4 linked regions of the Stegostoma tigrinum genome follow. The protein of the gene in region 4 interacts with the protein of the main gene of each other region in a pairwise test. Links are inferred from orthologs where the notes say so. Each region holds a gene or a part of one and is shown on either strand. Other genes may lie near its edges. The genes, in order: oip5, filensin, xpo6 and nup62l.

Evidence for each region.
Region 1: the proteins of nup62l (region 4) and oip5 interact in binary tests that used the Homo sapiens proteins (3 or more experiments, as listed by UniProt). The two-hybrid records come from large-scale screens. The link is inferred for Stegostoma tigrinum from reciprocal best matches to the Homo sapiens genes NUP62 and OIP5.
Region 2: the proteins of nup62l (region 4) and filensin interact in binary tests that used the Homo sapiens proteins (3 or more experiments, as listed by UniProt). The two-hybrid records come from large-scale screens. The link is inferred for Stegostoma tigrinum from reciprocal best matches to the Homo sapiens genes NUP62 and BFSP1.
Region 3: the proteins of nup62l (region 4) and xpo6 interact in binary tests that used the Homo sapiens proteins (3 or more experiments, as listed by UniProt). The link is inferred for Stegostoma tigrinum from reciprocal best matches to the Homo sapiens genes NUP62 and XPO6.

What each region holds. Positions count from the first base shown.
Region 1 is NC_081363.1:84,907,750-84,915,253, reverse strand, and holds the start of oip5 (protein Mis18-beta), read left to right. Parts: upstream 1-4,343; 5' UTR 4,344-4,415; intron 4,416-7,100; coding exon 7,101-7,236; intron 7,237-7,504. UniProt on the Homo sapiens protein: Required for recruitment of CENPA to centromeres and normal chromosome segregation during mitosis.
Region 2 is NC_081362.1:4,880,069-4,887,828, reverse strand, and holds the start of filensin, read left to right. Parts: upstream 1-4,493; coding exon 4,494-4,819; intron 4,820-7,760. UniProt on the Homo sapiens protein: Required for the correct formation of lens intermediate filaments as part of a complex composed of BFSP1, BFSP2 and CRYAA. Involved in altering the calcium regulation of MIP water permeability.
Region 3 is NC_081376.1:32,158,937-32,166,944, forward strand, and holds the start of xpo6 (exportin-6), read left to right. Parts: upstream 1-4,745; 5' UTR 4,746-4,968; coding exon 4,969-4,971; intron 4,972-8,008. UniProt on the Homo sapiens protein: Mediates the nuclear export of actin and profilin-actin complexes in somatic cells.
Region 4 is NC_081368.1:73,415,655-73,423,174, forward strand, and holds the start of nup62l (nucleoporin 62 like), read right to left. Parts: upstream 3,323-7,520; 5' UTR 3,135-3,322; intron 2,775-3,134; 5' UTR 2,767-2,774; coding exon 2,483-2,766; intron 99-2,482; coding exon 1-98. Other genes in the region: dnaaf6 (protein PIH1D3), read left to right, coding at 6,541-6,630. UniProt on the Homo sapiens protein: Essential component of the nuclear pore complex. The N-terminal is probably involved in nucleocytoplasmic transport.

The sequences.
Region 1 (7,504 bases), on a different chromosome or scaffold from region 4:
TATCATTTTGCCATTTACACCCACTCGAGACATAGCTCTTGTAACTTTACCTAGTCCCATTACAATTCCATTTGGCCTAACACCATAATTTTTTTTCCCCATTTTATCAAATCTTTTGATCTAACATTCTATCATAGACCTTTTTAATTCCCCACTTCAGTAATTTAATACCTGCTGCAAGTCCAAACTTTCCCAGTTCTGATGAAAAGTCAACCACCTGAAACGCAAACACTGTTCCCATTGCTGGACCTAGTGACCAATTCCAGCATTTAATGTTTATTTCAGATTTACAAAATCCACAGAATTACATGCATTTGTGTTAGTATTTGATTCATGGCTATTTCTTTTGCAGAAATCCAGACCTTTAAGAAGTTCTGCTCCAATTTCTGACCAGGTTTTCAAGTCTGACCGGATTTGTTTGTCGCTTTTACCTGAACTGCTCTCTATTTCCCATCCTGTTATTCATCAGGTCTAGCAAAACAGGAGTTCACAGTTACAGTTCCTTCATTAGTAACTGTCTTCCTCTGGCTTATTCCATGTGGATTACAACCGAAATTCTACCCTCTCTCTTTCAGATCTACCTATTGTTACAGATAACTCCCAGGCATTCAGCATTGGTCAAGTAGGGACATAATGGCAATGTTACTAAAGTAACATTGGGAACAAGGATTCAAATTCCAACACACTATCTGATGGAATTAATATTTAATTAATTAGAAAGCCTGGAACTGAAAGCTACTTTCATATTCACCATTACAAAGACGAGCTTTCAATTGCTCTAAAAAACCATGAAGTAACTTAGGGATGGAAATCTGCCTTCTAGCCCTGTTCTGCTACAAAGTGGTCAACCCTAGGTCAGAACCCCTAAGTACTCTGATCATTTTTAATTTAACTTAATTGTGCTTTTAAAAAGAGTGTTGATAGTCAAATATTCCTGCAGATGTAAATTAAGTGCCTGTCTGGACAGAGAGAGGGAGAAGCCCATGGAAATTCACACCTACTGATGTAAAGGGAACTTCAAACAACATCCCTTCAAAGGGGGGGGGGAGGGATTAGAGCCAACTGATCTCTTGAGACTAGAAAGATAATAAGGGATTGATGACCAAACTGCACACTCATTTTGTGCTTTTCTCTTTGAAGAACAAACATGGAGATGATTTATAAGAGATAATGGGAACTGCGGATGCTGGAGAATTCAAGAAAACAAAGTGTGGGGCTGGATGAACACAGCAGGCCAAGCAGCATCTTAGGAGCACAATTTATAAATAATTTATAATTTATAAAACCAGTTTCAACTCCACTGGAATGTATTAGTGGAACAAAACTCTTGTATGTACCAGCCTCAGTTCAAGCTTTAGTGTGCTGTGATAGGCATACACAAAGAACTAGCCCCTATTTACCACTGTGTTACCTTCTCTCACTCCAAGTGTTACAAAGCATTGAACAAGGAAACAGGATAACAAAATGAATCTCGCTCACCCTCAATACTGGAATCCAGTCAAGGTCAAAAGGAATCAGAACTACAGAGTCAACAAAATGTGAGGCTGGATGAACACAGCAGGCCAAGCAGCATCTCAGGAGCACAAAAGCTGACTTTTCGGGCCTAGACCCTTCATCAGAGTGTCAATCGACGTGTAAAACACTCTCTTCACTGTCCTGAGCTCCAATTCCTTCCAGGCGAAGCAGCATTTCACTTGCACTTCTTTCAATCCAGTCTATTCCAATCATTGCTCACAGTGCAGTTTCCTATACAATGGCTAGACCAAATGCAGACTAGATGACCGTTTTGCAGAATACTCTAATTTTGTCCACAGGAATGACCTTCCAGCGCATTCCATTTCAACAAACCACCTTTCTTTCATGCTAACATTTCTGTCCTTGGTCTGCTGCAATTTTCCAAAGAAGCAGAATGCAAACTCAAGGAAAAACATCTTATTTTCTACATAGGCAATCTACAGCCCCTAGGTCTTGATATTGAATGTAATAACTTCAGAAACTGACTGTTTTATGTCCGTACTCTGTTTTTCTTACGTTATCTTCCACCACCGCCAATTCTTGATTACTTTGCAATTAGTAACAAGGGCCAAAGCTCTCCTTTTCACATCTTAATTTACACCCTTTTAACCTATCTTTTCTTTCTCTGTTATTAACAACTTTTTTTTGTCTTTTGCACTACATTATCAGCCCCCTTGGTGTCTTTCACCTCTGTCAAAAGTGTACAATAAAACCTATTTTTCAACACCTTTCAGTTCAGACAAACAGCTATACCAAACTTTAAACTTTAACTCTGTTTCTCTCTTCACAAATGCTGCCAGACCTGCTGAGTTTCTCCAGCACTTTTGTGTTTGTTGCAGAACAAAGAATTGTGAAATCCACTGCTCAAACAGCAATGTCAGTGATACCAGTAGCCTCGAATGCAGTGCTGGCAATGTTCATCTACCTATTCATCAGAAACAGTTTAGAGACTGACCCATATGTCTCTTTTTAAAAAGAAATAATATTCTCACCTCTTAATTTTAAAGTGTTTGCAAATTCTTCTTTCGTTTGGTACTTAATAAACTCACTCTATGTTAAGTCAAGAAAGCCTGATTAAATTGGACTCTTTGAAATCACGAGTTTAATCAGGTCTGGGAGAAGGATTTCTGAAGAAGGGTCCCAACCCGAAACATCAGCTTTCTTGTTCCTCTGATACTGCCTTGTCGGCTGTGTTCCTCCAGCTCCACACTGTGTTATCTCAGACTCCAGCATCAGCAGTTCCTACCATCTCCATAAGGTAAAGGATCTGTTTTTAAATTAATATTTCTGTAATCAACTTGAATAAGTTGAGTGAAGACGTGGAGCCAATTTTGTCTCTGCTCATCCGACAACTTCATGATTTGGGGTATTCTGTCTGAAACCATGCTAACAAATTAGCAGCATCACCAGGGAACTGGGTGTAACAAATTGGGGAACCTTGCCAGGGTTTTGTCATATCAGTGTGATTCCAGATCCACAGCAATGTGCCTGACACTCTGAAAGGCCCAGCAAGTCACTTCAAGGACAACTAGGGATGGACAATAAAAGTGTGGGTTTGGGAATGAAGGGAGAATTGTAAGGGAGAAAACCAGGGTACACAAAAAGGTTACAATTATGTTGCTAGGTGCAGTTTCTAGGCCACCAGTGGGAAAGATGTGGAGGAACAAATCTGCAGGGAAATTATAGACAAATGGTAACATTCTAGAATAGTTTTAATGCAGACTTCAATGACCTAAATATAGACTGGGACACTCAAGTGTACCTGGACTGTGTTCAAGAGAGCTTCCAAAGGGAGTAGATGTCCAGTCTGACAAGAAAGGAAGCACTGTTGGACCTGGCTCTTGAAAATGAGGATAAGTCAAGTGGATCAAGTGTCAGTGAGGGGACGTTTAGGAAACAGTGACCATTGTATTATTAGATGGTGGAAAATGATCTGCAACAGTGAGATCAGTCAATGGCAGAGAGGACACCTCAATGAGGCAAGAACAGAGTTGAGCAGGATTGACTGGAACCAGAGATTGGTAGAAAAAGTAGTAACTGAACAATAGGATACCCTCAAAGAGGAGATGGTTCAGGTACAGTCAAGATACATCCTCTCAAATAGAGAAGGTGGAACAAACAAATCCAGAGCTCCTGGATTAAAAAGGAGAAAGGAATTAAGATTAAAAAAGATGTGCCTATGCCAAGTCTCAGTTAAATTGAGAACCAAGAGGAATATCAAAGGTTTGGAGGGAAGGTCAAAAAGCAAATGAGAGAAGCAAAGAGGATTTCTAAGAAAAGACTGACAGCCAGCATAAGGAAATGTCACAGTCTTCCGCGGCCATGTAAATAGTAAAAGGCTGATAAAAGGTGGAGTAGCGCCAATTAGGTATCAAGAATGTATTAAATGAACACCATGCACCTGTCTTTACTAATGATAGAAATGCTCCCTAAGGTCATAGTGACAGGGAACTCAGTCACTAGGGCCGATCAAAATTGAAACTGCAGAAGTGTTGGTACTTAAAAATGAACAAGGCGCCCAGGACTGGTTGAGATGCCCCCAAGGATTTTGAAGGAAGTGAGAATTGACATTGCAGGGGACCTAGGCACAAATCTTTCAGTATGCTCCACACTTGAGAGGTGTCAGAGTCTGACAAACAATTGCAAACTTCACGACAGCCTCATTCAAGAGAGGATAATCCCAGCGACTGCAGACCAACCAGTTTGACATCCAGCGATGGACAACCATTTGGAATACAACTAATTCATCTCCCCCCCCCCACAAAACCTCCTCTACTCTGTTCCGTCCCCCTCCTTTCTCCACGCCCCACCCCGTTTCCGCGAAGACGGCGTACTGCGCATGTACGCTGGTTTGAACGCAGTGCGGCGCGCGTTTGCTAACGGTCGTGTTTGAGGAGGAGGTGAGGGGGTTTGGTTGGGTCTGGGGCATATGGTGGCTGGGGTGTTGTTCGCTTCTTCCTCCTCCTTCCCTCCCCCGAGAGAAAAATAAAATAACCCCCCAAGGGCAGCGGCAGCAATAACAACATGTCTCACTGTTGTTCCCCTGGCGGAGGAACTGGCTGGAAGAGGGCATGGTGCCTTTGGGTTTTGAGATGGGAGTGGGTTACTGAGCGGGTTTGTTGTTACAGAGAGGCGCTGCAGTGCCTAGACTAGAGGGGAAGATTTGGTTCGTGTCAGCTCTCAGCTTCAGCCCACAGCCGAAAAAAGCTTATTTCTGGCACCTTCGATGTGACCAGATGTCTCATGAAGTTACCAAAACTGGGTCTCAATGAAAAGGTAGCAGGACAGATGACCAAAACATGGTCAAAGAGGCTTATGAGGAACCAGAGCCGTACCCTCTCCTTTAATAAACTCCTGTTGCAATTTTCTCAGTAAACTATGTGCCTCTGGATTGCCAGCTTATTGCCTCTGCATATCATATCCCTTTTACACTTCATCTGTCACTTTAAACAAGCCTTTTCTTTTACTACGTTTGATCTTGTCTCAGTGTAAGATTTTGCTCCATGGAGCAGTTTCCCAATGTTATAAATAGCACTTTTTCTCCACTTGGCCACTAATGTGCTAGCTAGTCGTTTCTTTAAACTGCATGTTCAATGGTTGTGGTTTCAATACCAAGGGCCTCTATATCGAATGCTAAAGTGTCAAAGTGTAAGAATGTTTATAACCTATCTTCATGTGCCAATGCTAGACACAAGCCAAGAGCTAATCACATTCTCTGGTGCAACATTTCAGTGTCTGCTAATTGACAGCATGTCCATCTGTGTAGGTCTTGTATAAAAGCAAATTGTTGGGTTTTGAAAATAAAAAGAGTGCTGCAGCAACATTCTGCACGAGAGTCACACTGGACTTATAATGTTAACACTGTTTCTCTCTCTCTGTCCTAGATGCTGCCAGACCTGCTGAGTTTTTCCAGCTCTTTCTGTACCTATTGTGTGTAGGACCTGGAGTCTAGGCATTGTTAGTGACTGAACAGCCCAGTGGCAATTGAGATAGATAGACAGAAGATTTGTTTTCCAAATGCTTGCTGGGCAGTGGAGGTACTGTGGCTCAATTGCTGGCATTTCTGCCACTGAACTGCATTCAAGTCCCACTCTAGATTTGTTGGAAGGAGTGTTCGTAACACTGGACAGGTTCTTATTCAGCTTATAAATCCTTCCAACATTCAACACCATCCCTCAGTGAAAAGAAGGAAGGAAAGAAAGAAAAAAAAGTGTGGCGATGAACACAGTGGTTGGGTAAGCAATATACTAGTGAATAGGCAATACAATAGTGGTCTTTCTGGAAGTACCCTAAAAAGCAGTTGAGGCGTAAAATACTTGGAAAAAACTGTTGAGGATGGGTTTTCTTAAAAAAATACTTTTAGTTTTCATCTGCATGCTCTATGATAGCTCTTTAAGCTTCCTCTAACTTGTTCCCACAACAACTTGAAAATGATTCTCCTTTTACCCGTTAAGACAGAAAGGAAACTGAGTTTACAGCAAATTGTCACTTTATTCCATTGGTAGGATTTGATAGTCAGGATTTTAAACATTTCATTCGTGGTATGTGGATCTTGCACTTATTGCCTATCTGAGAAGTGGTGAGTTGCCGCCTTGAGCCACTACAGTCCATATGCTGACCTACAATGCCATTAAGGAGGGAATTTCCAGCATTTTGACACAGTGACACTGAAGAAATGGCAATATATTTCCAAGTCAGTGTGGACAGTGGCTTGGAAGGGAAGTTGCAGGTGGTGGTGTTTATAGTATCCATTGCCCATGTCCTTCTAAATGATAGTGATCGTGAAAGGTTCCATCCAAGGAGCTTTGGTGAATCTCTGCAATGCATCGTGTTGATAGTTGACATCCCTACTAAAGAGCATTGCAGGGAGTGAATGTTTGTGGATGTGGTGTTATTCAAATAGGGCTGCTTTTTCCTAGATGGTGTCACATTTCTTGCATGTTGTTGGAGCCTTACCTGTCCAGGTAAGTGGGAGGTATGTCATCACACTCCTGACTTGTACCTGGTAGATCGTGGACAGGCTCTGGGGAGTCAAGAGGCGGGATACTCACCACAGGATTTTTAGCCTCTTACCTGCTCTTGTAGCCATTGTGTTTAATGGCTACTCCAGTTCCAGGGGTGGCACAGTGGTTCACACTGCTGCCTGACAGCACCAGGGACCCAGGTTCTGTTCTAGCCTTTGGTGTCTGTCTGTGTGGAGTTTGCACATTCTCCCCGTGTCTGCATGGTTTCCTCCGTGTGCTCCGGTTTCACACAGCCCAAATGTGTGCAGGTTAGGTGGATTGGCCATCCTAAATTGCCCATAGTGTTCAGGGATGTGTAGCGTTGGTGGGTTATAGGGGGATGGGTCTGGGTGGGATGCACAGAGGTTCAGTGTGGACTTGTTGGGCCGAAAGGCCTGTTTCCACACTGTAGGGATTCTATGGATTCCTGAGGTTTTCTTCATAACATGTTGAAATATACTTTAATTGTGTTTACAGTCCGAATATTTCATCAATATAGTTCGGTTTGCACATCCCAATTGCGATGGTTGATTGATTTGATCAGTTGTTTTCTCTCTCTTTCTTCCTGTGTGCCCTGTTTAGATGGACAGTGTTGTGATTGGGTCCTTGAAGGTGAAGGACTGTGTGATCTTCCAGTGCAAGAGATGTCACACTGTGTTGGGAGATTCTCTGCAATCCTGCGGTAGCAGCTTACCATTGAACATGCTGTTATGTTTGAGTAAGTGTTAGGTTAGCTATGTATAAATGGTGATAGATTTTTAATCAGGAGGAGCATCAAGGCAAGAACGTGGAGTTAAGGATTATCAGATCAGGCATGATCTCGTTGAATGGCAGAGCAGATATAAAGGGCTGAATGGCCTACTTCTGTAAATCTTGTAGAAAAATACAGAAGCTTGACCACATGCGCCAACAGGTTCAAGAACAGCATATTCCCTGCTGTTATCAGGCTGTTGAATGGACTTCTATAATTTCAATTCTAATGTTGA
Region 2 (7,760 bases), on a different chromosome or scaffold from region 4:
TAGGGAGGGGATAGGTCAATCCAGGGAAGATGGACAGGTCAAGGAGGTGGGATGAGGTTAGTAGGTAGATGGGGGTGCGGCTTGGGGTGGGAGCAAGGGATGGGTGAGAGGAAGAACCGGTTAGGGAGGCAGAGACAGGTTAGACTGGTTTTGGGATGCAGTGGGTGGGGGGGGAAGAGCTGGGCTGGTAGTGTGGTGCAGTGGGGGGAGGGGACGAACTGGGCTGGTTTAGGGATGCTGTAGGGGAAGGGGAGATTTTGAAACTGGTGAAGTCCACATTGATACCATTAGGCTGCAGGGTTCCCAGGCGGAATATGAGTTGCTGTTCCTGCAACCTTCGGGTGGCATCATTGTGGCAGTGCAGGAGGCCCATGATGGACATGTCATCTAGAGAATGGGAGGGGGAGTGGAAATGGTTTGCGACTGGGAGGTGCAGTTGTTTGTTGCGAACTGAGCGGAGGTGTTCTGCAAAGCGGTCTCCAAGCCTCCACTTGGTTTCCCCACTTTCGCCATTTACAATCCGACCCCACCACCCAAGACATTTTTCCATCCCCACCCCTGTCTGCTTTCCGGAGAGACCACTCTCTCCGTGACTCCCTTGTTCGCTCCACACTGCCCTCCAACCCCACCACACCCGGCACCTTCCCCTGCAACTGCAGGAAATGCTACACTTGCCCCCACACCTCCTCCCTCACCCCTATCCCAGGCCCCAAGATGACTTTCCACATTAAGCAGAGGTTCCCCTGCACATCTGCCAATGTAGTATACTGCATCCATTGTACCCGGTGCGGCTTCCTCTACATTGGGGAAACCAAGCGGAGGCTTGGGGACCGCTTTGCAGAACACCTCCGCTCAGTTCGCAACAAACAACTGCACCTCCCAGTCGCAAACCATTTCCACTCCCCCTCCCATTCTCTAGATGTCATGTCCATCATGGGCCTCCTGCACTGCCACAATGATGCCACCCGAAGGTTGCAGGAACAGCAACTCATATTCCGCCTGGGAACCCTGCAGCCTAATGTTGTCAATGTGGACTTCACCAGTTTCAAAATCTCCCCTTCCCCTACTGCATCCCTAAACCAGCCCAGTTCGTCCCCTCCCCCCACTGCACCACACAACCAGCCCAGCTCTCCCCCCCCACCCACTGCATCCCAAAACCAGCCCAGCCTGTCTCTGCCTCCCTAACCTGTTCTTCCTCTCACCCATCCCTTGCTCCCACCCCAAGCCGCACCCCCATCTACTTACTAACCTCATCCTTGACCTGTCCGTCTTCCCTGGACTGACCTATCCCCTCCCTACCTCCCCACCTACACTCTCTCCACCTATCTTCTTTACTCTCCATCTTCGGTCTGCCTCCCCCTCTCTCCCTATTTATTCCAGTTCCCCCTCCCCATCCCCCTCTCTGATGAAGGGTCTAGGCCCGAAACGTCAGCTTTTGTGCTCCTGAGATGCTGCTTGGCCTGCTGTGTTCATCCAGCCTCACATTTTATAATCTCATTTTGTCTCTTATTTTCACTGGAATCGAACACTGTCCTTTGTTATTTACAACCCACAGTAAAATAAATAACAGGAACATTCAAAATTCAAACATGCTATTTTAATGAGCTTGTATTTGTTAGGCTTTGATTAATGATGCATAGAACTTCCGCAGCATCTGATTAAACAAAACGAAATGACCCCTAAAAAATCCTGAGGATGCCAGAAATCTGAAAAAAAAAGCTGGAGAAACTCAGCAGGTCTGGCAACTTCTGTGGAGAGAGAAAGCAAGTTAATGTTTCGGGTCCAGTCACCCCTCTTCAGAACCAACTCCTCCCCACAAGAACTGAAGCTGACAGTAAGTGTGAGTGTGGATGAAAGACCCTTCCCAGTTAAAACCCTTAATGTTCAGTCAATGTCCACTATGAACCAAGATGTGGAGGTGCCGGTGTTGGACTTGGTGGGGACAGAGTCAGAAATCACCAGGTTACATTCCAACAGGTTTGTTTGAAATCATAGATCATAGAATCCCAAACTGTGTGGAAACAGACCCTTCAGCCCAACAAGTTCACACTGACCCTCAGAGCATTCCATCCAGGCCCCATCCCCCGATAACCTACCTCACCTACACACCTCAACACTACAGCCAATTTAGCATGCCCAATCCACTTAGCACACACATCTTTGGACTTTGGGAAGCCGGAGCAAACCCACGCAGACACGGGGAGAATGTGCAAACTCCACACAGACAGTCGCCCGAGGGTGGAATTGAACCCGGGTCCCTGGCATTGTGAGGTTGCAGTGCTAGTCACTGAGCCACCGTGCCGCCCTCGCAACCTTGGAATGCAGCCCCTTCATCACCTAACGAAGGGGCACCTGGTGTTGTGTGACTTCTCACTCAAACCAAAGCTTTTCAAAGGTTATGGAGGCAGGGACCCAAGTGAGGGGGGGGGGCGCGGTGGCAGGGCAGGGGGGGTGGGTGGTGAAATTTCAGGGTACAGATGACTGTCATGGAGCTGTGTCTGAAAGACTCCCTGGTGTAACAGTGTCCTCCTCCTTCACAGCCCCTCCACTACCACACCTCGCACACACCACCCTCACTCTGTTCCTTCTTGCTGGTAACGGTTCTGAAAGGGTTAAGGTTTGTATGAGGCTCCTCCAAATCTGTTGACGCACACAGTCAAGGGTGGGGAACCAGAAGTCCCAAGAGCATCAGATTTGTCTCCCTCTGGCTCCCAGTAGTCTGCCTAACTGGCCAAGGGAATGTGTATCTACTGCTGTCAGGTGATAAACTCTCGTGCTAAGACTAAATGCCTCTTCTTGTTAGGACTCATCAGTGCAGCATCCCCTTCCAGCTTTACCAGACAGAAGTATTGGAGGGGTCTTGTCATGCAGTGGCGATGTCCTTACCTCTGAGCCAGGTGTCCTGGTTTCAAGTCTCATCCGCTCCAGAGGCAAGCCCTAACATCCCTGAGCAGGCTGATCAGAAAGATCAGCGAAGGAAGTCCTGAGGAAGGGTCACTGGACCTGGAACATTAACTCTTTATTCCACAGATGCTGAGCTTTTCCAGCAATTTCTGCTTCTGTCTGGGAGGGAAGGCGCCCATCAGATATATCTCCCTCTGGCTCCTGATAGTCTGAGGGACTCTGAGGGAATGTGAGTCTATTGCTGTCTCTTGGTGCTAAGATGCTGAGCTTTTCCAGCAAATCCTGTTTTTGTCGGGGAAGGAAGGCTTGCTGACAGCACGCTGTCCGCCAACCAGCAGCTGCTGATTCCACCGCAACTTTGGGTGAGGGGATTGTGACAATTTCTGAGCTTCAGGATTGGGGGGTGGGGGGGATAATGTTTGCTGACCTGAACGCCTTGGTTTCCCATGGGTGCAATGAGGCCAGCTCCAAAAATGCACCCTGCATGTTTCCCTCAACTGGCTGCATAAAAACTGAGGGGGCCGGGCATGGGGCCCCGGGGGCTTTAAAGTCAGCTGGCTCCCCGTGAAGCTGGAACCTGTGTCCCCTGGGTGCATTGATCTGGCCCTCCCAACTGCCAGCCCAGAGCATTACCCGGCACCCTGAGAGAGACACAACGTTTAGGGAGGGAATTCCAGAGCACATGGCCCAGGGCAGGGCAACACTGATGGGCGGTGAGTATCAGAATGGGTAAGAGGGCAGAGTGGGAGGAGCGTGCAGACCTGGCCTCGCCACTCGTTAATATGAATAAAATTCTGAGGAAGGGTCACCGCACCTGAAACGTTAGCTCTGTTTTTTCCTCCACAGATGCTGCCAGACCTGCTGAGCTTTTCCAGCAACTCCTAGTTTTTGCACCGTGAATATTGATTCTTTGACAGTGTGTGTCCCCCCAGTCGTCTGAGCCTCCTTTTGAACTTCAGCTCACCCCACGTGAACTTCTCCTGTTGTCCCACCCATTGCACAGGGACAATGATCCTGCTGATCCCCATGTTCATGGAAATTCGCCCCTGGAAGATTCAGCGCCCCGTCAGCTCTTAGTTTGCAAGTTTTAGCTGACTGTGTGTGTGGTCCCCTGGAATGTTTTGTTTGTGGAGACACATGCCCGGGCTCTGCTGATCAGTCAAAAGCTCTGACCAGGCAGAATTAATGCGTTGACAATGTCCCTGTATAATTGCTGGAAAGGGCGGACAATTAACAGGGGCAGTGCACAATTATGCGGAGCTCTGCGTTGTTCTGAACTCTTATTTATTCTCATCAGAAGGTATTTTCCAGCCCTTCATATACAGTGAGGGGTGCTGTGCGGTGGGGATACGTGCACACTGTCTGAGGGGAGTTTTACCCAGTCTCTCCTCCTGTGTTGTGAATCAGTCTAACTTTTCCTGAAGAAGGGTCCAGACCCGGAACGTCAGCCTTCCTTCTCCTCTGATGCTGCTTGGCCTGCTGTGTTCATTCAGCTCCACACCTTGTTATCTCAGATTCTCCAATTGCCACTCTGTCTGAAATAACTTGTCCAACAGTAGCTGACAGAGCCAGCCCGTTCTGTGCCTGGGATGTTCGGAGTGAGCTCCCTGTGTGGGCTGGGGAGGGAGGGAGAGGGGAGTGAGGCAGGTTTAGCAGAGCTGGGCAGTTTAAGGAAGTTTGCAGAGCGCTTTGAGAGCTATGTGTGCCGGGCCCGGGCCCTGGAGAGGAGCAGCGCCACACTGGAGAAACAGGTGGAGAGTATCAGGCAGATCGAGGAACTCTCGGGTCTGGGGGGAGTCTTTATGGAACAGATCGACCAACAGCAGCAGAGTCTCTGGCGGCTACTCAGGGACCTGAACATGCTGGAGAAGGAGCTGAAGGACATGAAGCAAATCTTGGAGCTGTTTCACACCAGGTAACTTCTCTCTCCCTTTTACTCACTCTCATTGTTACTTTTTGTCTCTTGTTCACTGTATAGCCCAGCACCAAGTAAAACAAAAAAATACCCCTTCAAAGTAATTCTTAGACTCACAGAATGGTTATGGAGCAGAAGGAGGCCATTCAGCCCATCCTGCCGGCACTGCTTCTGTGCCCCAATGCCAAATGTCTGCCTTTTCCCCAAGTCCCAGCGCACCGTCTATCCAAATAACCATGCACTTTCCCAGTTTAATGCCTCAATTGAACCTGCTTCCCCCACACTTCCAGGCAGTGCATTCCAGGCCCGGACTATTTGCCCTATGAAAAGGATTTCTCTCTCACCTCACCCTTACTTCATTTTCGGCCCCAAGCCCATCACTTCAAATCTGCACCTTTTTCTTGCTCCTTTTAGAAATGGGAACAGTTTCTCCCAATGGGCTCTGCCCAGCCCCCTCATGCTTTCGAAAACCACTAACAGATCTTTTCACAGTCTCCTTCTCTCGACTTCTTCAATCTATCCTCGTCAGTGAAGTTTCTCATTCCTGGAATCATCCTTGTAAATCGCTTCTACACTGTCTCTCTCCCTCCGACCTGTTCACTTTTCGCCCTATAATGTGGTGCCCACAACTGTACACAACACCCCAGATGAGGTCTAACAAGCATCTTATACATACGTGTTCAACACCATCTCTTTGCTCTTGTAGTCCATGCCCTATTAATAAAGCTGAGGGCACTGTGAGCTTTATTAACTGCTCCCTCTCTCTGTCCTGCAACGTTCAATGATCTGTTCACATATACCCCCAGCTCCCTCTGCTCCTGTACCCCCTTTGGAATTGTTGACCCTATGTTATGTTGTATTTCAATGTTCTTCTGATCAAAATGCATCACCTCACACTTCTCCCCACATGACCTCATCTACCTCCCATCTGCCCGCTCCCTCAACTTATCAAAATCCCTTTAGAGTTCCACACTGTCCCCCTCAGTCTTCCAAGTTTCGTGTCATCCACAGGATGTGACGCTGTCCCCTGCACAGCAAGATCCAAGTTGTTAATGTAAATCAGGAAAACCATGGGTCCCAGTACCACAACTTCGGGGAACTCCCTGACAAACCTTCCTCCAGCCCCAAAAATATGCATTGGCCATGAAACTCTGTTCCCGACTGTTTGACCAATTTGGTTTTCATGTTGCTGCTGTCCCTTTTATTCCGTAAACTGTAACTTTCCTCAAAAGTGTGATCCTCACTAATGTTTCATTGCAAACTTTGTACAATAATGGAATGATCCAGTTCGAAGGTATTAAAAGCGTAGGCAGAAATTGGAAAGACGTGCGCCCATTTTCTAGTCAGATAGTGTGGGCATTGTTGGGGGAGGGGTGGAGGCTTGATTTAAGGGTGAATCCCCCAGCAGTTGAATGATGCCACCTTTGGGCAGTGTCGACACCTTGGGTACCAAGAACAGTTTGAAATTATTTCCTTTCCCTTCTCTTGACATCCCTCCTTCTCTCTTCACCCAATCCTACACATTCACATTCCTGCTCCCTCATTCCTCTACTTCTTTCCCAGTACTGAATCTCCCACCGAAGCGGATGTTTGCCCGCTGGGTGGGCTGCACAGATTCAGGAGGGTCCTGGGTTCCACGGATATCACAGCCTGGTCGACAGTGAGCTGTAAGGCATGGCTGGTCCAGAATTTGGCATTGCGTCAATGCTTAGAAATAAAATCAGAAAGATCGCCACATTCCATCCATGACAACACACGTTCCCAAACAACTCTGTGCCAGTCACACTCTCCTATATCAAGCTATGTGCTTCTACCCACCCCCATGTTTGTATATGTTGCTGCAATGCTCTCCATTCGTAGCAGCCCATTCCCTCCACCTATCACCCTTTGCCCTTACACCTAACAGCCAATTTGCTTAGTATCTACCGTGAGTAGGCCTCAGCAACCAAGCAAAGATGAGGGAGACTTAAGCCCTATAAAATGAAGTTTGAAGTGCATATTGCAGACTTTGTGGCATTGAAAAAAATTCACTCTTTCGCAAAAATCTATTATTGTATTTGCATCCTGCCAACAAGATAAAACCTTACAACAACAAACATTTCGTTCGTGTACAGCAAGCCTTACAATTCAATGCCTCACATCAAAAAGCCTGAAACCGCTTATCACTGTCAAATCTGTAAGGTTGAAGTAACTGTGACACTGTGACGGTGTGTAGTTGTGAAATCAGCCATACTGCGCTAAGCCAGGAATGTTTCTCGACACACCGAGTGAAACAACAAGAAATTATTTATAAATATAGAATCCTTACTGTGTGGAAGGAAGCCATTCAGCCCATTGAGTCAACACCTACCCTTCAAAGAGCATCCCAACCAGACCCACGCCCCCAACCTACATTTTTCCCATGGCTAACCTGCACATCTCCGGACACTGTTGGCAGTTTAGTACAGCCAGTCTACCTAACCTGCAGATTTTAGGACTGTGGGAGTAATTTAGAGGAAACCCACGCAGACACAGGGAGAATGTGCAAACTACACACAGACAGTTGCCCGAGGTTGGGTCACTGGCGCTGTGAGAATGCAGTGCGAACCATTGAGCTACCAGGCAGCCCTATGCCAGTACTTTCAAAGGTTTGAGGGGCAGCACTTTTAAATGCTTTGACAGCTTCCTTTGGTGAGTGTTTCTGACAGTTTTGACAGTGTATCTGTCTGGATGACAGTTCCAATGAATCACTGAATTGTTGTTGGGCAGAAGGCAGCCATTCAGCCCATCATGCCTACACTAGTTCTATTCCCTCGCCACAATCTCCTGCCATTGCCCTATTTCCCTGTACGCCATTTCCATCCAAATAATCATCCAGCATCCTCTTGGATGCTTCAAACGTTGGGCGGTCATGAGGGTTATGGCCCTTTTCTGCACATTTCAATCATGACAAAAAGGCAGC
Region 3 (8,008 bases), on a different chromosome or scaffold from region 4:
TTACATTGAAAGAGCTAACGTTGCATAAACTTGTATTCCCTCCTGTATAGAAGATTGAAAGGTAATCTAATTGAGGTATTTGTAAATGTTAAAAGGAATCAATAGTGTAGGTAAAAACAAAGAATGTCCTCAATGGAAAAGTTAAAACAGAAACAATCTTAAAAGTTGAGGCTAAACACCGAGGAGAAAAATCAAGAAATTGAAATTTTTTTCACATGAAATAGTGGCATCAGTCTGGAACTCTGCTTCCAACCCACAGTCCCTAACCTGCCCTGCTTCCCTTCTCCCTTAAGAAATGTTATTGAATGCTAAGCATCAGATGGTGTTTTTAAGATTGAAATGAATAGATTATTGTTAAATAAGGCCATCAAGGGAAGGTAAATGGAGTTTAAGTGACTGGTCAGTTGTAGTTCTCATCAATGTTTGTTGATTTCAGGTTGTCGTGTGCTCAGTGTGTTTCTGCCATGGGTCTTCACGTGACTGAAAATCTTGATTCACAAATCTTTCTCCACATTGGACAGAATGAAGAATGTGGAGAGCAGGATTTGCTTCATTTGCTTTCCTTTTCTGCTGTGGATCTGTCTCATCATCAAGGCATCATGATTCAACATGTGCCACAGCTTAATGGACAATTTCCCACTATTTTGAAAATTTGGTTGCAAACTACTGCTGGATATTGGTATCAATGTTGTTTCACTTCTTTGAAAAAAGCTTCAGACTGTTTTAAAGCATTTTCTTTAACTTCCCCTCGAACATTGGTCTTTTGAGAGTTGAAAGAACAAGTCTTGTTAGGGGAAATGCTTTTTAGCCATTCAGACAGTGTCCAGTTCATTGAAGTTGACTTCACAGCTGTTGGAGTTGGCTTCAAGAAAGATTTGTTCAATGATCCTCCCAGAGAATTAAGTTGAAAACATTGCTAATGAATTTCCCTGGCATTCTTATGCATCATTACTACAATACAGCAACATGCTGATGACAACTGTTCTTTACACATTAAGTCATGTCTGTATAATTGGCAAAGCTGATGTTTTGGGTCTGGACCCTTCTTCAGAAGTGGGCAAGCGGAAGGGGATTCTGAAATAAATGGCGGGGTCGGGGGGGAGGCAGATGGACAGTGGATAAAGGAGCAGATAAGTGGAGAGGAAATGGACAGGTCAAGGAGGCGGGGATTGAGCCAGTAAACGTGAGTGTAGGTGGGGAGTTAGGATGGGGTTTGATCAGTCAAGGGAAGACAGACAGATCAAGGAGATGGGGATGAGGCTGGTAGGTAGGAGGTGGAGGAGGAGGTTGGTCAATGAGGTGAGAGGAGTGGATAGGTGGAAGAAAAGATGGACAGGTCAAGGAGGTGGGGACGAGCTGGGCTGGTTTTGGGATGAGGTCGGGGTCGGGATATTCTGAGGCTTGTGAAGTCCACATTGAGACCATTGGGCTGCAGGCTTACCAAGTGAAATATGAGGAGCTGTTCCTGCAGCCTTCGGGTGGCATCGTTGTGGAACTGTAGGAGGTCGAGGATGAACATGTCGTCCAAGAAGTGGGAGGGGAGGTTGAAGTGTTTCGCGACTGGGAAGTGTGGTCGTTTGTCACGAACCAAGCGTAGGTGTTCCACAAAGCGGTCTCCAAGCTTCCGCTTGGTTTCCCTGATGTAGTGGAGGCCACATCGGGAACAGTGGATACAATATACCACATTAGCAGTTGTGCAGAAAATGACTATTACGAGGGGGCATAATTTTAAGGTGATTGGAGGACAGTATCGGTGAGATGCCAGAGGTGGGTTCTTTACACAGAGAATGGTGGGTGTGTGGAATGCACTGCCAGCATTGCAATGGTAGTGGAGTCAGATACATCAGGGACATTTCAGTGACTCTTGGATAGGCGCATGGATATAGAGTATGCAGGGTTGTTGATCTTAGAGTAGGATAATCGGTTGACACAAAATCATGGGCCGAAGGACCTGTACTGTACAGTACTGCACTGCTTCTGTTTGTTAAGGGGAACCGTTGCTTTCTGTTCAACTCTCTATGCCCCTCATAACCTTATACATTACGATCAGGTCACCCCCTCAATCTTACTTGCTCTAAAGAAAACAACTAGAGCTTTTCCAGCATCTCTTCATAGCCAAAGACTCCATATCAGGTTAAATCCTGTTAAATCTCCTCTGTACCCAATTCAGTGTAATCACATCTTTCCTAAAGTGTCGTGACCTGAACTGCACACAGTACTCCAGCTGTGGTCTAACCAAAGTTCTGTACAGCTCCAACATAACCTTCCTGCTCTTATAATCTGTGCCTCGACTGACAAAGGCACTGCTACGCCTTCTTAGCTATCTTATTAACCTGCCCTGCCACCTTCAGGGATTTCTGGACAAGCACATCGATTATTTTGTACCTAGAGCTTCCTAGTATCCTATCATTTATTGAGTAATCCTTTGTCTTGTAACTTCTTCCAAAGTGCATCATCTCATTCTTATCAAGGTTATTAAATTCTATTTTCCACTGATCTGCCCATCTGATCAATTGTTTATATCCTCCTGTAGCCTAAGTTCTTCTTCCTTACTGTCAACCATCCACCCAAGCTTCGCGTAAACTTAGTTATCATGCCTCCTTACATTCTCATTTATATCACTTATATATACCACCAGCAATAAGAGACCCAACACTGATCCTTGTAGTATGCCACTGGATATCAGCCTCCAGTCACACAAATGCTCTTCTACCATTTGCCTCTGTATCCTCCCACTAAACCTATTTTGGATCCGGTTTGTTAAATTATCGTTAACAAATGTTCCTAGTCATTTTTCACAATGGAAAGGGATGTCACAGGTTTACATCTCTGGGTGAAAGACATGGAGAGAGTAGATCTATTGGCAACATTAAAAGTAGAAAAATCCATAGGCTTGGATGTGATGTATCTCAGGCTGTTGAGTGAAGCAGAAGAGGAGATCTCGGGGCACTGGCAAAGTTTTCAAATCCTTTGTGGCCACAGGAGACATGCCAAAAGATTGGAGGACTGCTAACATTGACCTGTAGGAAATTACAGGCCAGTCAGTCCTATTTGGTGGTGGGAAAGTTATTAGGAAGAATTCTGAGTGACTAAATACATATGCACTTGGACAGACAGATTAATAAGGGTTTGTCAGCATGGATTTGTTATGCGAAGATTGTGTTCAACACATTTGATCATATCCTTTGAGGAAGTAACCATGAGTATTGATGAGGATAATGTATTTGATGCGGTCTATGTGGTCTTCAACAATGCATTTGGTAAGGATCTCATAGCAGAAAGTTAGCACACATAGGATCTAATACAAAGTAATGGTAAAGATAAATTAAGGAATTATAAACCTGTAAATTGACATCTGTGGCAGGAATGTTTTGGAGAAACTTTTGAAGGAGAGGATTAACTTCCATTTAGAGAGTCAAAGTTTGGTGAGAGATAGTCAGCATGGCTGTAAGGGTGGCATGACACTTAACAAATCTGGTTGAATTTTTTCAGGATTCAGGATTTCAAGTGTGTAGATGAGAGTACTGCAATTAATGTAGTTTATATGGTTTTCAGCATGACTTTTTGACAAAGTCCCACATTAGTGACTGATAAAGAAGGAATTCTCTCCTAATTGATTATTGCTTCAAAAATACTCAAGAAGCTCAACATCATCCAGGCACACTATGCACTACGGTTAGCACTCCCACCCTCCAACCCTGATGAACTGTACAACATACAAGATACACTGCAACAATTCAGCAAGCTACACACCTCCAAGCCTTTACCACCAAGGCAAACAAATACATACCACCACCTGAAAGTTCCACTTAAGCCACACAAAATTCTAATCAAAATCCAAGAAATGCTCTCTTAACAGTATTGATGATGAATCTGCACAAATGGACTGCAGCAGTTTGAGAAAGTCACATCAAGGGCAGTTAGGGATGCACAAAAACACAAAGAACTTTATTTTTTTCTTGAAAATATTGAGCAATAATCTTTCTTCATCCATCGTCCTAAGAACTTTTTCATTGCTCACGTTCTGTCCCATCAAACTATTTCACAACTTTATAAACTTTAGATGTATGCTTTCTCATTGTCTATGTTTCAGCCCTTTTTAACAATGCTCCAAATCACAATTTTGATAATTCTTTTCTTCAGATTTCTACTCATCCCTATACTGACCTATTCTTTAGGCCTGGAAAATTGCCTTCAGGATTTCCTCATAAATAACATCTACAGGCATCTTAGCACAGTTGGCTGGAGGCTTGGTTAGCACTGCAAACTGAAGTCAAGTATGGTTCCAGCCCTGTTTTTGCTGAGGTCATCACGAAGGTCCCACTTTCTTAACCTCTCCCCTCTGGTTAAACCATCACCAGTTGTCTCCCTCCATTGAAACAGTTGGGTCTATGGCTACTTTATATAATCGCTTCTTCAAAAGTATTGCAATAAACGTCTTCTATACTGTACACTTATGTAACTTTTTTTTAAAAAGGGGGCTTAAAGATGCAACAACGAAAATGTATTTTATAAGACAGTTTCATGAAAGATTTTTATCTGTAACTTAGATAAACTAAATTTTACTTCGGTGCCAAATAGCAAGCACTGCACGTACAGGGTAAGCCGTGGTCATGTGACCAAGCGCTACCAACCAATCAAAAGTATGTCACCGCCCTTTTCCACAGCGGCTAATCGAAACTTACCTTTCAATCGAATTGACCAATCATAATACACATTTGCAGCCATCCAATGGACATGCACATTGGGATCTGGCACAATCCGGTCTGAGCCGGCCCGCTCCCGCCAGGGCGGAACCGGATCCGGGGCTGGGGGCGGAAATGTTGCGGGAAGGGCCTGATGACTAGGCCCGAAGAACCAAGAGACGCAGCGACGGATAGCGGCTCAACATTCGTCCTCACTGGGTTAAAGGGGCTGTGCTGGATACTCGGAGTATGAGCCGGACAGGGAAGAGATCGTATTTCAACTATGGTGAGTACGCGGCCTCGTTTTGTCTCTTGTACCCTGCGTGCTCCATTGGACTTGATATTGTCAGAAGAAACGCCAAGGCTGCTCTCCTTTTGTGGGCCTTCTACGGAAACGTCTCCCTTCTCTGTAGCAAGCCCTTCTGCATTATGGGGCTAGCTTCCCTTCCTCTTTCCGAGGCAGTTGCAACCAATTCTCATGTTTTTCATCAAGGAAGTGCGGTGGGGAGGCATACCTTCCATACATCAAGTAGAATGAGTTCTGCTGACGTTCTTAAGGAAGGTGTTGTGGTATTTGTTGTGCCACTGTCCGCAGATTTGATTGGGTACCGAAAACATTAGGAAGGGAAGAGGCCGTTCAACTCCTCCTTTAAATCCGTTCTGCCCTGTAATCAGGGTAATGGTTGCTTCGTTTAGAATCACTCTTAGTTGCTAATGTGTCAGTGTCGGTTCCCTGCATAACAATTAAAAAGGTTCTCCCATGATCGTGCACACTTCTCAACTGACTGCAGGATTTCTGAGGGTAGCCTTTAGAGCAGTATTGCCCAAATGTTTGTTTGCTGAGACTCCATTTTGAAGCTTGAAAATTGTGACCCCCTCAGTGAGAACTGAAAGCAGGGATACACTCATCAGAACCAAAAGTTCCATGATAGTCATCACTGCCTTACTGTGCTATTCTAGTCAGATCCTTTCTTTGGAAAGTTTGGCTTTAGAATAATACATTGCTCAAGATTGTGGTACCCTGCAAAAAGTTAATGTAATATGCTATGGAATCAGTGGACATTGCTCCTGTGACTTATACGTAGGCACAGATGCATTTCAGGAATCTGTTTTATTATCAAATAACAAGTTGGATTCACTAGAAAACAATTGTTTCATCGAGAGGCTGCTATAAAGGATAATAATCTAGTTTTAAGTCTTAAATGGAATGTAAATGAAAGATGTTATAGACTGCAAAAAGTGAAGTGATTTCTATGACTAGATTCTGTAAAATGTACATGTAGCTTGAAAGTGGAGCAGAAGCACTGCATATGTCCACAAAATGATTTGATTTGTCCCTAATCTGTCACGTTTGTCAGAGTAGTTGATCAGCATTTTATGCAAAAATGTATCATCATCTCCTGAACCCACTTAAGCTTTTTATGCACACGAGAGATCAGCTAGTCCACTGATTATGGTTGATATCATAATAAAGCACTCTTGTCTCCACTTAACAAAAGGAATCTAGTATTCTGGGAGGGGGCCAAAAATTATCTTAAAGAAATGTTCTGGAGGAAAATACTTGAGGCATTCTTTCCCAACTGAGCCATTTTAAAACTAAATGTAGTCTGTGCTGACCAAGAATCTTGCTTTTTTTGTGTGCAAAATGATATCAGCTTCTGATAGCAGCCTGTCTAGCTCCCTTCTTGATTTAGTTTTTGCAACAAACCTGCATCATTACACAATCTGGCAGCCAGTACAAAAGTCGATTAATCTTTTTGGAAGCAAATAATTCTGGCATCTAACCTAATTCCTATGCTCATAACTTTTTTGTCATAAACCCACCTGAGGAAAGTGTGCTGACATTAAGACCAACTACATTCGGTGGTCACAAACTTAATCAACTAACTCAACATCCCCAACTGTCCTGTCTGAACTCGGGTTAACAGAGCCCTGACCCAGTTTCTGTATTTGACAAGAACCACTTTGATCAATTTTAATCACAGGCAAGCAAAAAACATGAATCAACACAATCCTGGAGTTGGAAGTCTAACCTCTTAAGCATGTGCACACAGAAACATACAAGCATGGCAATGATGGGTGGAGAAAGAAAATTGGAGAAACGTGGTTCAATTGCACCGGTTTCTGGACTTCAGGGGTGTACCTTTTTTTGTTTCTTTCAGGTTGTTGCAATCTGGCCACCTTTTATGTGTGCAGTTGCTTTAGTTCCTTGAAGAGACTGAATGGCTAACAACTAATTATTTAGTTTCTCAAGTCACTGGAGCAAATGGTGGGAGAGAATAGCTAAGTGTCTTTTAGTTCTTGGTTACTTAATTCTCAAGGAAGTGTGCGTGATGCTGTCTTGAGTCTGGAGACCTTTTGCCTCGAGCTATCAACCTATCCAGACCGCTGGAGCATTGGACAGTATGTGTGAGCGATAGAGACAGAAGGTATAGGGCTCCTGTGTGCTATGGTGGTGTCCCTACCTCCTGGGTCAGGAGGCTTGGGTTCAAGTCCTACCTCCAGAGGTGTGTAATTACATATCTGAACAGGTTGATAGCCAGTCAGCTCCTAATATGCTGATGACTCCAGGCCTCCACAACTGGAACCTAAGTTGTGGGGAGGGGTGTGGAGGAAAAATCAACAATCTGCCACTGGGCAAAGCTTGCTCTGGAAACTCTGGCCGGTCATTCACAACTGCTTTTTTTTTTCTCCTAAGATCAGCGCAAGGTCAATAACACATCTCTGCTTCACCTTGTGTACCTGTTCAACTCACTTCTGTAACTAGGTGGATCCGTTTTCTACCATGTTATGTTCTACGTCTCAATTTCTGCATGGAAATAGTTTGCTCATTTGCTGTTTTGGAAAAAAAATCTTTGGTTGACAGTTGCGAGAGGGGGGGGAAAAAAGAGACTTTTTTATTGACTGTATTAAAATCTCAGTAAAATGTCATTGCATTCTCCCTAATCTGCATGTATTTCAATAAAAAAATTCATAAAGCCATAAGGAGTAGGCCATTTAGTTGTTTGAGATTGTGAATGATCTCAACTTTGAAGCCATTTTCCTGCACCCTCCATTCGGCTCATCAAGAACGTTACAGCATTCAGTAACTCTTACTTAAAACTTCTGGTACTTCAAGATAATCCAGAAATGCAAAGGTAACCTGCAATATTTACTTTCTGTAAAGCTAACTGTTATAGACCACTCTCCTGTCTCCCTCGCCTCTTGAATCATTGTTTGATACCATGACCTTTGCTAGCAGCATCAAGACTATTGATTAAATGTTGCTGTTATGACCCTCCTCCTGCAAGCCTACTATTGAAAGGTTTGCCCTGCCCCGCCCC
Region 4 (7,520 bases):
TGGTGGTAGTGGTACTGGTAGCAGGAGCATTACCGAAAGAGAAGCCAGAGACTGGGTTGCATCCTGTGCCACCAAACCCTAAACTTGGCTTGTTCACTCTGCAGAGAAAACATAAAGTTTAATTATTTGACAAAGATCCCTGTCTAATACCCAACCCATACCATGAAAAAACCAGGCCCTGTCAATCCTGGAGTAAGCACCGAACCACGAATAAAGCAAGATCTATCTATTCCGGAGTTTGAAATGAACCAGCAATAAAACAAGTTCAGCCAATCCTGTGGTAAAAAAACAAAAGAACTGTGGATGTTGTAAAGCAGAAGTTGCTAGGAAAGTTCAGCAGGTTTGGCCACATCTAAGAGAAATCAAAATTATTATTTCAGGTCTGGTAACACTTCCTGAGAACTGATGGTAGCTAGGGAAATGTCAGGTTTTAAGCAGGAAACAGGATTGGCTGGGGGGAGGGGGCAGACAGACAGACAGACGGGGGGGGGCAGGGGCCGAGAGGGAGAGCGGGCGTGGGGGGGGGGGCAGGGACCGAGAGGGAGAGCGGGCACGGGGCGGGGGGGGGGCAGGTGCCGAGAGGGAGAGCGGGAGAGCGGGGGGGGGGGGGGGGGCAAGGGGCCGAGAGGGAGAGCGGGCGCGGGGGGGGGGGGGGGCAGGGGCCGAGAGGGAGAGCGGGCGCGGGGGGGGGGGGGGCAGGTGCCGAGAGGGAGAGCGGGAGAGCGGGCGCGGGGGGGGGGGGGGGGGGGGGGGGGGCAGGGGCCGAGAGGGAGAGCGGGCGCGGGGGGGGGGGGGGGGGGGGGGGGCAGGGGCCGAGAGGGAGAGCGGGGGGGAAGGTTGCAGGAACAGCAACTCATATTCCGCCTGGGAACCCTGCAGCCATATGGTATCAATGTGGACTTCACCAGTTTCAAAATCTCCCCTTCCCCTACTGCATCCCTAAACCAGCCCAGTTCGTCCCCTCCCACCACTGCACCACACAACCAGCCCAGCCCTTCCCCCCCACCCACTGCATCCCAAAACCAGTCCAACCTGTCTCTGCCTCCCTAACTGGTTCTTCCTCTCACCCATCCCTTCCTCCCACCCCAAGCCGCACCCCCATCTCCCTACTAACCTCATCCCACCTCCTTGACCTGTCTGTCTTCCCTGGACTGACCTATCCCCTCCCTACCTCCCCACCTACACTCTCTCCACCTATCTTCTTTACGCTCCATCTTCGGTCCGCCTCCCCCTCTCTCCCTATTTATTCCAGTTCCCTCTCCCCATCCCCCTCTCTGATGAAGGGTCTCGGCCGGAAACGTCAGATTTTGTGCTCCTGAGATGCTGCTTGGCCTGCTGTGTTCATCCAGCCTCACATTTTATTATCTTGCATCTGTCATGTGTTTGCCTAACCAGCAGAACTTTCAGCCAATTTTAGGTCATGGCATTAAATAGATAGTTACTTAATACGAAATTGACTGAACGACATTAAATGGTAATTTTTAAATTAATTGTTTTCTCAGTTAAAAACTGTATCTCTGAATTTTTAAATGTAAGTGGTTTTTTTTTGGATCTGGACCAAGAAGAGAAACTCTCCAGAGCTTGCTCTTAGTACTCTTTCTTTGATTGACCATCTTGCAGTGAGAATCAAGCGATCTCCATTTGGCATCTAATGGCATCACCATCCCTGAAAGCTCCATCCAGATTTTGGGGCTTCCAATGCCCGTAAACTGAAACGCACAATCCATAGTGTTGCTCGAACAGTAGGTTAGAGGCTACAAATTCTGCAGCAAGCAACTCACTTATTGACTCCCCAAAACCTGTCCACCATCTACAAGGCAACAGAAACGTGACTGAATACTGCCCATTTGCCTGTGGGTATGCAACTCCAACACCAATGAAGAAGCATGAGAGCAACCAAGTAGAAACAGCCTGCTTGACTGACACAACCAGAAACAAACCCCCCCCGGATACATAGTGGCAGCAGTACATAAGATGCACCGCAGTAAGTCAACAATGGGTTATCTGACAGCACCTTCCAAACCTGTGACCGCTACTTCCTAGAAGAACAAAGGGCACATGAGAACACTTCCACCTGGAGGTTTCCTTCGGAGCCACTCAGAATCCTGTCTTAGAAATGTATTGCCATTCCTTCAGTGCTGCTGAGTCAAAATCCTAGAACTGACTCCTTAACAGCACCACGGATATCCATACACATCACGGACTGCAAAGATTCAAAACAGCTCAACATCATATACTCAAGTTCAACTGGGGATGGGCAAATGAGTGCTGGACTTACAAGTAACATCCACATCCAAGTAGGTCATGACAACACAAATTACCAAGACCTACGGTCAACCCATCTCCACATTTTCTCCCTCCAATATTGACATTCTCTGTTGAATTCCACAACACATCCATCCACTCCCTCCAGTTCACTCATCCACCGCCAGTCCAGTCTTTGGCTGTGAACATTAATGTGTAGGTACAGACTATGGCCTACCCAAGAGAGAAGCCTCCAGTAGTGGCAGTTGTTGCTGGCTGTGTTGGCAGGCAGAATCCAGTAGATGATGCGACTCCAGTAGTGGGAGTGCTGAACGAAAACAGACCAGTGCTGGGTGCTGAGGTGGCCGTTGTTGTAACCTGCTGGGGTGTTCCAAAGCTAAAGGTCCCTTGGGAGGCTGCAGTAGTGCTGCCAAAAGAGAACGCACTCCCTGTGCCTGCCGTCTTGGGAGCAGTGAAGGAGAAGCTGCCGCCTCCAGCCGGATTCCCAAAATTGAAGCTCATTTTGAAATCTAGAGAAAAATGGAAATTATCAGTCCACTGGTTGCAGCCTGTTAGGCTACATGCACACTCAACTAAGAGACTTAACCTCCTCCTTGCTCTAACCTACCCCACTCCATCCCCACATGGTCAGCAGTGAATTGAGGGGAATGTAGGTTAGGTTATTTTAGTTTTGGATTAGGATTATTCCACGGTACAACATCGTGGGCCAAAGGGCCTGTACTGTGCTGTTCTATGTTCTATCCCCATCCACCTCACCCGAAAACCCTGCCTCACCCCATTCTCCCATCCCACCTCTTCACCCAGCCCACCTCTCCAGATTAGATGTCTGTCTCTTGGGGCCGACTTGATGTTCTTGCGGTCTCACCTACCTTGGGGTTCCGGTCTGATTCACGGAAGATCCCCTATGCAAGAACTGGCGCAAACGACAATGGACTCTCTAGGCCGATACCGAAGCGATCTCGCTCCTCTTTTCGGCCCCCTCTATATCCGGCCCTAAATGATCCCGCTCTCTCACAGGTACTGTACGAACAACTTCGCTCGCTACACACCTCCCAAGCCCGCTCGCTCTGATTGGCGAAACCGTGCACCCATCCCCTCGATCCAGCATCGTCGCTGCTGATTGGGCCCCGAGGGCGGGAAGTGCATTGGTCCAGGGAGCTGTCAATCAAACCTAGCCGCCATGTCCATGGTTCCCATAGCGACGAGAAGATTCGCTGGAATAGTAAGTGTGAGGAAGGGAAGTGAGGGGTATAAAGGATGAGGGTGTAGGGAGTGAAAGAAATCGAATGAGTTAAAAAGAGAAAATTTGAGGCAGGGTGTGGAGAGGGAGAGAGAAAAGACATTGAGTACGTGAGTAAAGAGAAAGTTTGAGGGAGGAAGGGACAGAGACAGCGAGGGAGAGATGTAAGTGATAGAAGGAGGTAGGGAGAGAGTGAATGCGGAAAGAGTGCGAGGGAGTGTGAAAGGCTCATCAGTGGAATAGGCTTGACAGGATGAAGGTAGGAAGGATTTTAAGATGAGGCCTTCTGGGGAATGTGTAGTGGTAGGGAGAGAGGAAGGATGAAATATTGTTTTTTTTCTTAGTGTTTAAAGTATATTTTCTGCAATTGTAACATGTGCCGCATCATAATTTATCTCAGCGAGTAATTGCTCAGTGCACCTTTGAGACTACATATGACTTTGCTTCAGCTCCGAAACGTGTAGAACAGCAGATCAGTTATTATCCTAGTTTTTTTACACAGTGCAGTGTTTCTTGTCGCTTGCTTTACTTGGAATAAGTCATTAGCCTCTTGCCAGAGGCTTAGTGCAAGGGATGCCACTCCTCATCATGCATGGCTGACTGGAAAACTCTCCACTCTCACTGCCTTGGTAAGGAAGTCGGAAGGAATTTGCTGGTAGATGCTCCAACCTGTTTGGCCAACTTTGGCTTCTAAACAGCAACAGGGAGGTGGGGGTTTCAGTTGGTAGTTACTTTTTAAAAAAAGGAAAGCAAAGAGAACACATTGAGGAAATTCCAAAGGCAATTTATCAATGTATTGGGGGAAGAAAGTAACCAATGAAAGAGTTGGGACAGAAGTGGCCACATATATAGAGCTGAGGTTTTAAATGAGTACTTTGTGTCTGTATTCACTATAGAGTAAAAAATGAAGGTATATAAATCAACAAGGGGGGGTTGCAATATATTTTAATAAATTCGAAGAAGACACCAAAAAGGTTGATGACGGTAGAGCAATAGATATTGTTTATTTGGATTTCAGTGAAGCCTTTGACAAGCTTCCGCATGGTTAGGTCACATGGGATTCAGAGTGAGCTTGCCAACTGGATACATGATTGGCTTAATGCAGAAGACAGAAAGTATTGGTGGAGGGTTGCTTTTTGGACTGAAGACATGTAACCAGCCGTGTTCCACAGGGATCAGTTCTGGGTCCTCTCTTGTCTGATATTTACATAAATGGCTTGGATGAGAATAAAGGATGTTTGGTTAGTAAGTTTGCAGATGACACCACAATTGGTGGCATTGTTGACAGTGAAGAATGTTTTCTAAGATGATAGTGGGATCTTGATCAAATGGGTCAATGGGCTGAAAAATGGCAGGTGGAGTTCAATCTGGATAAATGCAAGATATTGCATAATGGTACAACAAACAAGGGTAAGACTTATACAGTTAATGGTAGGGCTTTGACTAGTGTTGTAGAACAGAAGGACCTAGGGCACAGGTTAATAATTCTTTAAAGTTTGCATCACATATGAACAGGATGGTTAAAAAGGCGTTTGGCATGCGTGCATTCATTGATTGGTTGCTCAAATTCATACTGTAGTAAACAGCGAGGAAAAAGCCTTAGACAGCAGGATGGTATGGATTTGTTGTTCAGATGGGCTGAACAAATAGAATTTAGACCATAAGACAGGAAAACAAATAGATCGTTCGACCCCTTGAGTCCGCTCCACCACTGAATGGCATCAAGGCTGACCCGATAATCCTCAAATTCATGTGCTGCCTTTTCTTTGTAGCCCTTGCCAATAAAATACTTGACCCAAAATCTTATATAGACGAACAAGTAAGAGTAGTAAAATGAGGAGTTTTGCCAATTAGAAATCGTAATGGGGATGTACGGACAGAGGCAGTGAGTTTGGCTGAGGTGTTTCATGAATACTTTGCATTTGTCTTTACTAAAGAGGGAGCTGCTAACTCAGACAAGCTAACTGAGGAGGAAACTCTGTCACTAGAAATACTTATTATTGATAAGGTGTAGGTATTGGTTAGAGAGTTGGTACTTAGATGGTGATAAGGCACTGGGACTGGATGAAATGCATCTGGAAATTTTAAAGAAAGTAAGCGTGGACATTGCAGGTGCCAGGACACAATCTTTAATCTTCCCTCAACTCAGGAGAGATGCCAGAAGGCTGGAGAATTGCAAACATTACAGTCTTTTAAAAAACATTGAAGGAGTAAGCTGAGCAATTACAGACCAGTCAGTTAACTTCAGTGAAGGGGAATATTTTGCTAACAATTATTTAGGATAAAATTAGAAGTAACATGCAAAAAGGTGGTTTGATTAGGAAGTATCAGTATGAGTTCCTTGAGGGGAAATGATGTTTTACTTCCTGAAAATTTTTGAAGAGCTAACAGAAAGGCATAAAAGTTGTCTGTTCATCACCACCTTCCTCACCACAAAACCTCTCTGAGAAGTTTGGTTCATTTAATAAATCAGTAATAAAAAGCAACTCTCTGTAATAATGACCATGCAATAGCCAGATTGATACAAAAGCCAATTTGGTGCTTAAATATCACTGAGAGAATAAAATCTGCTGTCATAACCCTGTCCGACTACGGGCCTGTGACAGTGTGGGTGACTCTCTAGTTGTCTTGAGTGAAGTTAAGATTGAATAATAAATACTAACCTTGCAGAGATGCTTTTGTCTCACTAACAGTTCAAGAGTATTATTGTCATGCCGTTCTGTTTTCCCTTTTCTCTTTCTTCTCCATCTGCCCCACTGTTTCACACCCCCCCCCAAACTTGCCTCACAATACTTAATTTGATGTTGCTCATCTCAAACATTAATATAAGGAATCTCACAGATTCATTCCCCACAATCCAACCTGTGCCCGAAGCAGGAATGTATGTGGACATCTGCAGTGCCAGGGTGTACTTACTGTTGACATATCAGCTGGTAAACTAACACAATTAGTGGTAAGACAGTATAAATTGGTTCTAAAAGAGGATCCTTTCTCTTGCAAATAGGGCGTTTATTCAGCTCTAACAAGGTAACAAGATGGATTTCACCTTCTCAGCTGACCACCTGCAAGCTTTGTCAAACCTGCTGTCCTGTTCAGATCGAGAAGAGGAGGAACTGGATGAGGAGGTAATTCTAAACATGTCCCGCAAACTTAGATCGCTAGACTGGATCAAGGCTTGGGGATTTGGTTTTATTCCACCTCTCAAAGAACCCTGGTCATTTCTCAAGGGATTTATGGAACTTACTATGAAATTTCCGGATAAGGAGCAGCTCAGCCTCTCTGTCTATATCTGACTGAATTGTTTGAAAATCTAAAATATCATTTGGCTCCCATTCATCTTCCAATCAATCAAGCCCTCAATTGAATAACCTTCTCAGTTTGTTTAAAATTAGTTATTTTTAATGTCAGGAAAAGTTACTCAGAATCACAAACCTCACTGCTTTTCTCAGCATGCTGTTGAATGATCTATCTCTCCATAAACTCACATAAATTGAAACTGAACTTCCAATAACTTGTCAAGTACAATTAACTACAGGCAGAGAGTCCTTTAATTTAATCTAATCTGAAAGACAGTTCCGAGTGTTGACCTGAAGAGTATCCTCAGGAATGGCATTTCAATCCAAGACTATCTTACCCAGAGACACTTCAGTTCATTCAGGAAATGTCAGTATTTTGGCCATTTGACCAGAGTTGAAAAGCTCACTACTAAAGTAGGTGATGGAAGGCAGCAGAATGGATTGACGTGGCGGTGTAGTTGAATGATGAATGTCGCACAATAGTTGCCAACAAAGTGGAGTAGTTGTGTGAGGATGATGCGAGACAGACAAGTGTGGCTTACTATAAGAGCAGATCTCCTGGCAGCGGTATCCCAACTTCAGTTACTCTTCAGATATGAAAGGTTGCATACTTCATTTCTTATTTGTCATATCTTTACCCTGGCTTCCCTGTTTGTGGACTCATTGCTTGTTCAATACAATGAGACTGTAATTGCCAAAAAAAACCTCCGAATGCTGTG